Caenorhabditis elegans: one gene and its partner. The protein of the gene in region 1 interacts with the protein of each later gene in a pairwise test. Each region holds a gene or a part of one and is shown on either strand. Other genes may lie near its edges.

What was found. The genes of interacting proteins can lie anywhere in the genome.
Region 2: the proteins of unc-5 (region 1) and unc-73 interact in a two-hybrid assay, tested with the Caenorhabditis elegans proteins (one study listed by BioGRID).

The regions. Positions count from the first base shown.
Region 1 is NC_003282.8:5,526,721-5,530,476, reverse strand, and holds the start of unc-5 (Netrin receptor unc-5), read left to right. Parts: upstream 1-2,138; coding exon 2,139-2,220; intron 2,221-2,551; exon of another isoform or gene 2,552-2,572; intron 2,573-2,836; exon of another isoform or gene 2,837-2,857; intron 2,858-3,756. UniProt on the Caenorhabditis elegans protein: Receptor for netrin (unc-6) required for axon guidance. Mediates axon repulsion of neuronal growth cones in the developing nervous system upon ligand binding.
Region 2 is NC_003279.8:4,029,950-4,033,705, reverse strand, and holds the start of unc-73 (CRAL-TRIO domain-containing protein), read left to right. Parts: upstream 1-1,966; 5' UTR 1,967-2,078; coding exon 2,079-2,099; intron 2,100-3,756.

The DNA.
Region 1 (3,756 bases):
ATCATTTTTTCAATTCAAAATTTAACTTTTTGTTTTCTACTTGAAAAATCAATTATTGCAGTTTTACAATGCTTTCAAATATCAGCCTAACTTCCGATATACCATTGTTACTGCTATGCTTTTCTTGATTACATTTTTTTTCTTTATATTCATTGTATTTTCAAATCTGCAAAACTTGACAAAATAGAAGCGAAAACTTTCTTGTATTATTTTTTTTGAAACAAGTGCAAAACAGTAGTCCAAATATTTGTTATCTTATCTTGTTTTTTTTTATTTTGTCAAATGTTTTTGTTCAAACCTCTCAAATAATTTTTAAGACACCTATTATTCAAATTTGTAGTTTTTCCTTCCAACCCATGAAAACCTACAGTAACCCTTCAGGGAATCTCCCGCCTTTACCACGAGAATTTCTCTTTATTATGTTAATTTCAAGTTTTTGAGTTAGGCGGTACTCTTTTCATTCACTTGCTCAAATATTATATTTTCTCACAATTTCTCACATAATCTTGCTCTGCTTGACACATAGGACGATTAACATTGAAAGTTTAATAAAATTATAACATTTGACTTTGAAACAGTAATTTTTTTAAAAAAGAAATGTTCAGATGTCACTAACATTTCAAAAATCATGGTTTATTTATCAAAATAATGAAACAGGCTTTTACAGAAAAAATTGTTCTCTAGCTAACATCTCTAGTGAATAGTAAGTATTTTCAAAGACGACTTTTCTAGAATCTGCGTAACAATGGAATTCAAATTACCACTCCCCATATAATGATCTCTAAAAAATGTTTTTAGAAAAATTTTCCATTTTTTCAGATTCCATGCTTTGTTGTCTTAATTTCCACTATTTTCTATTCCTTCAGAATTCAATCACTGAAGATGAAGCACACATTTTTTTTACAGTTTCAATTGGATCTTTTGTGAATTAAGAGTATTTTTGTTTTATTGAATCCATTATTGTTATTGAGACAATAAAGCTTATGAGTTCCATGTAAGAAAAAGTTGGTCTGAATATTTATCAAATTCAAAATTCTTCAATAATTGAACGGGTATTATTCCAATTCTAATACAACTGTGAAATTATATAAAATTCATCAAAACTATGAAACATGTTTTTACTGGATCAAATTTTCTCTGGATGATTTTTTTTCATCAAAATCAATTTTTTCTGTATCCTGATTATATTCAAACTAAACCAAAGTGTGCAAATTGAAGAAAAAAAATCAACTCCCTTTTTTTAAGTTCGTTTAAAATTCCAATAACCTCCTATTTGTTTGAGAATTTAGTTTCTTGAAGCACAAAATATTGTTACAGTTTCAGTAAGGCTTCTTTTAAATTCAGATTTTTCTCCGACATTGCCTCGTATGATACCTTTGTATTTAATCCGAAAACAAATTCTTGAGTGTTCTATGATTGTAAAAAAGTCAAATAAGTTTTCTATGAGAAAATACAAAAATGTCTCTGTAGGTGAAGTGTAATAACATTGCAAACAGATTTTTACAGTTTTTTGAGCAGCAAGGAGTTTACATATCAGCACGAAACATCACGAAAAAGTTATCTAAAACTTTTTTCTAGATAGTTGAAATTTATAAAATTTATTTGTCTGTTTCAGTAGATTCACTTTATTTAATGCAACTTCAAGACCATAGTCGTATGTCAACAATTGTAACCCCTATATTGTAATTAAATTAAAAAGTTGACTGTTTCACCATGTTTTTTTTCAAAATGTAATTTCAAATAAGTTTTGATGTTCTGTGGTTTTTCGTTCCATTTTTTAAATAAGAAATAATTTTGGATCATTGAAAAAAAATCAGTTTAGAAAGTGAAAAAAATCTATAATTACTAAGTTTACAGACAGAAAAGTTCACTATTTTTTCCAACCCAAATCTAGAAAACATTGAACTCTGTCTGTGGTCTGGTTGGTTGTCCAATTTGTATTTTTCGGACCTTTATCCTTTCTTTAACATCTGGTTTTTATTACAAGAATCGCCGCTCTCTCTTCCTCTTGTTCACATGTCTTCCGTGCTCACAAAAACCTTTTTTATTTCTTCACGGGACCTCCACAATTTTTTCATTTTGATTTTTATTCTTTCCATCAGTTTTTCCTTTTAATTTGAAAATTTGAAATTCTACAGATGGAGGACGACACGCCCGATGTGAGTTCAGATTCCAATGGAGATGCAGCATACAGCGATTATTTCTTGGACTACAAATCAAGTGAGTTTCTGATTTTTGAATTAATCCCTCTTATTTTATCCTACTTATAAAAAAGTTAAGGACTATCTTTTCTTTGTTTAGAAAATATGCCAATGGGTGCCCCCGGCAGGGGGTAACGGGGGTAAATATTAGGAAGTATTAAGAGGGGTCAGTGAATTGTTTGGTGTTAGTTTCAAGGAGCTATGACACTTTTTTTTGATGATTTGTCAGTAAATACTAGATTTGTTTTACTTTTGGTATCTGTATGGCCACGGTTTGAACATTTAAAAAATTTGAAAAAAATTACTGTTTCAGAAATTGTATAAGTATTTTAAATTTCCTTGTGATGTGATTGCGTTTGTTAAAAAAACATTTATAAAATGTTTATATAGTTTTGCAAAAAATTCTGAACTGTTTTCCCAAAGTAAAAATTCCCTCCGACGAGGAGGCAGACTCTCTCGCTTTGCAGACTGCCTTCTGTGTTTTTTTATAAAAACATTTCTTGAAACAATAACGTTACTTTAAAACTTACCTCAAAATTATCTTTGGTTGTAACATTTAAAAATCACGTGAATTTTGCAGAGATTCTATACATTTTCACAATTTTAATAAAGTCTGATCTATGAAACGTTATCAATCACACCTCTCCTTAAAATTGGGAATATAACGGAAAAGTTAACAAATTAAAGTTTAGTCAATATTTCTAAAAATTAACATTTCAAGAAAAATTTGATCAAGCAGTCATAATATACTCTAGCGCTTTCATTGATGGCAGGCAGGCGTTTTAATTTGCCTAACGTCTACCTGCCTTTTGAATATCCATTTTTATTTTGCTCTTTCATAAAATCAAACATGAGTTCACTAGCAGCCGACAGTATCTAGGTCTTGCGACTCATCATAAAACTATAAGTAGGCACAGAAACAGGCAGGCATTCTCTACCTTACTTCAGTTAGTCCCTTTCTCCAATTTCTTCCGTTTCCCACTCACTCATACATCATTGAACCTTTGAGAAGGTGTCCCATCTCCAAAGACACACGTGCCGCCACTTAATCCCAATTCTCGCCAGAACTCTTTTCACCACCACCACCAGTTGCTTCTTCTTCTTCTTCTGTTGTTTTTTTGTGTGTGTGCTCACCTCTTTCCCCTCTTCTCCAATCATCACCCATTCACACCACGGATGACTAGGTCCGATGATTTTTGCCGCCAAATGATATTGTTGTAACGTTTCCTGAGTCAATGATGATGACGACGTACCTGGAGGGGGGGGGGGGAGCGGTATTCTCTTTTTGATGGACCCCCCGTACATTCCCCCACAGGTATACCTTAATGTCAAATGTCAATCAGAACGAAAATATATGTTGTTGCTTTATTAAACTGTTGACATGTGTAAACAGAATATTTTACTTACGCATTAGTTTACTTTATGGCTCATAGATTCTCCAGTTGATAGATGTTGTAAAATTGGGAGAGGTTAATGGGTGAACGGGAGTGGTGTCACCTGTTTTCACATAGTTTGTATTATGACACTGGTTGCGATAAAATTTCAGTTTATAATC
Region 2 (3,756 bases), on another chromosome or scaffold:
CACGTGACAACTTCACTGAACGGGGGTAATAATATTCCAATGATAGTAACTGTCAAGTGTCGATCCCTTTTGTTTTATGATTTCCGCTTGAACGGTCATCGTATACTGTTTGGCTGAAGAGACATGTGGTGGTATAATCCTCTGGGAAATCCAATCTTCACCATGTGTCTCGAGAATATCTCTGATGTTGACTTGTTACTGTAGGATTGAGTGGAATTGATATTATTTTTGATATTAGGGCGATAGCGGTCATTTAGTTCAATTTTTGGTCATTTAGTTCAATTTAGTTCATTTAAAATTTCCTAGGATTTTGTTTTACGGTGTTCCACCGACACTAAAAACTGATTGTTCAGATCAGAGGTGTACGTTAAATTTTTTCGACAATTCTACAAAATGGCCTGATGTGGCATGTTGGTCTGATATTTTTCATTAAAATTTAGTGTCAAAATATAGGATTGATTGATCTGAAAATAATTTTTTAGTTGAAAAAAAATCCTTAAAAGTTGTCTGAAAGGTGAAAATTGCTGGAATAAATCAGACAAATTATTGACACTTTTTTCCAGCAATTGGCAACTTTCATGCAATTTTTAATCATATTTTCACATTTTCAAACTTAAATGAAAATTATTTTCTGATTAATAAATTATTTGTTATATATTTTTGCATTAAATTTTGATCTGTTTTGCCTGTTGAACTAAAATGCTCTAGTTCAGATACAAGTAGTTTCAAAGAATTTGAGAGATTAGATTATAAAGACATCTCAACAACTTCTAGAGCTCACAACAGCATCTATTGAGTTCAATTGAAAAATTCAATTTTGGAGAAGAAAGGATTTAAACAGAATTATCTATATTTGAAGTGTTGCTAACATACTTCTTGTCATCTGTCGCCTGCATCGTTTGCACCTGCCACCATTACCGCCATCTCACGTCGTCGTCTTCTTCATGTCTTCTTTCTTATTTTGCCTGTTGTGTCCCCGGCGGTCTGTCCGGTCCATCAACATCCGTCTGCGCGCGCAGTGACCCTTGCGTTCTCTTTTTACGTCTGCGTCTCTACAGGACACTAGCACTGTCTCATATGACCAGCGGTCTGCTACAACGGCCGTTAGCCTCCCATAACAATTCGCTTGTCTCCCGCTTTCGTACGCTATTCCCGGAGCGGTGCCCACCCCAATGGTTGGGCCCTCTTGAGAGAAATAGTTCGTTTTGGTAGCTCTTCCTTTTCTTCTTCCTTTTCCACGATTTTCGCATTTTCACACCCAACGATTTGTAATGCGTTGTGCAACTAATAATTGAGACTAGATTCATCACATCTTTATTTGCTTATTTTATTTTATGCAGTGAAGACATTTGAATAATGCATACTTCCTGAAAAAGTACGTATTCTAGTGAGAAGATCTAATAACGTTTCGCAATGTTTCGACCTTTTCCATCCTATTTTTAGCTGCTTGAGTATAGAATTTCTTCAAAAATATCAATGAGTCAGTCATTTTAAAACAAACTTTAAAATTTAGTTTTAAAAATTGGCAAGACCATTTTGACCAAAATTTGGCAAGAGATTGTTTAGACTAGGGTCAAATAGAATTAAATTAGCTCAAGCCACATGTTGCCAATTTCCGATTTAAGCCATTTTTTTCCGGATTGTTTGAAATATTTTGTATACCAAACTTGTTCCAAGAAGATGTTAAGCTATATGAAAAGCTTCTAAAATTGTAATGCACTTATTTTTAAATGTTCTGGAAAATTTTGTTTTTTCCATAATAATTAATAATTTTGTCTCGATTTTTTCTTTGATTTTTAAAATCTTATTTAGTGTGATTTTCCATGATTTTCGAGCAATATTTCATCAGAAAATTTAAATCGAAAATCAACTTTTTCTCTCTTTTCAATACGCACTCTATTTTATTTTCTCAAATCTCTTTTTTTGAAAGAAATTTAAAATTCTTTGAAAACTGTCATTTTTTCAGATAAACGGGTTCTCATCTGATCGTCACAATACACACACAGACATTCAGAAGCACATGATTATTTTGAATTCAAGAAGAGTCGTCAAATTCGCATAAAATTCCTCCATCAGTTATGGGCGATTATGATGGAAAAGTGAGTTTTTTCAGTTTCATGGTGGCGGCAGCGGCAACTTGTGAAAAAAGAGGCAGAGATGCCGGCGCCGTAATCCATTGAAGCGATTAATGCGGAAAACGAGTGCAAACTGTACGATTTGATAGAGAAAAGAATACGTTTTTGTTTTTCGAATGTTCCGAGAAATGTCTTTTTCATCAAATTTTTAAATTTCAAATAATTTAATTTTGTTTTGTTAATATTGCCCAGACGCAAAGTTTTGCGATATTTGCAATAAAAATACGGTATTCGGTCTCGATACTACAAATTTTTGATGAGCCTTTAAAGATTACTGTAGTTTAGTTGATTATTGATTTTTTTCTCTATATTTGTTTAAATTTATGTGTTTAACAGTTTTTTTGTTGTAAAATTGTTCCGATGAAAAATTTTTTTATAAATAACAATGAAAATTGATGAAAATTCCGCAAAAACCAAATGCTAGAGATTACAGTATTCTTCAAATAAAATTTTATCGTGTCAAGACCGGGTACCGTATTTTGATACAAAAATCGTTAAATTTCGCCTATGAGTAGTAGAAAAAATTAACACCAAAACAGCAACTAAAAAATTTAATATAACTTTAAAGTTTTGCCAAAATTGAAAAAAAAAATTTCCGAGATCTCTACTCTTTTTCACGACTATAAATCTTGATTAGGTCCAAACTAAAGAAAAATAAATCATAATAATTGATGTATTACGATTACAAACCTTCCCAGACAATTGTTGAAAAGTGTAAAATGAGTTCATCACGTTTTTGAAATATGTTATGAGTCAATTGTTTTGTGTCACTCATTCCGAAATTCGGTGCTCTCCCGGTGCTCCTGCTTCTTCTCACCCATTATTTCCGGATAGATCATGAGATGGAGAGACGCAGATAGCACGATAATAGTGACCGGTTGTGTAAAGTTGTGTGAGAAAAGAAACGAAATAGTGGGAGCTTATCAAGCTCTTCCCTCAATCCTTGAAACAGATGGTACTCTCAAAGAGTGCCTTCTCGATTAGCACCAATCTTACTACTAGTATGTTGTTGTTCGAGACAGGATTATGACCTCGAGAAGCGAGGAAAATGTGAGAGAGAACGAATACCAACAAAAAAATCCGAATAGTGTGTGTGTGTAATGACGGCAGTTTATGGCAATCGGGGAAGACATTGAGAATTGTTGTAGTGCAAAAAATTGGAGGAAAAAGAAAGAAAAAATGAAAGAAAATCTCTTGTGTGCCGGGTTTTCTTTCTTCCTTTTTCGTTTTTTTTCGTGTTGGTTTGCCTTGCAAGTAAACTAGTCAACTTCAAAATACTCTGGTTGAGCTTTTACAAAAAGTTCTCTCAGTCTTTTTTCTTTCAAATACAAATTTTTCTGCCCAATTTTTTCACAAAATAAACAAAAAGAGCCAAACTTTTATAGGTAGTTTTTGAGTACATTGTACTGATTATTTTAATTTAAAATCAATGATTCTAGTTTGTTATCTCTATTTTACAGTTTCATAAAATTTAAAAAAAGTAATGTACAGTGAATGATTTCAAATTTTTCTTTCAGTATTGGCCATACAAAAATGAAAAAATACAAAAAATAAAAAAATTTTATAAAACCTAGATTTCCGTTTGACATTTTCTTTTTTATTCCAAGTTTTAGTGCAAGTT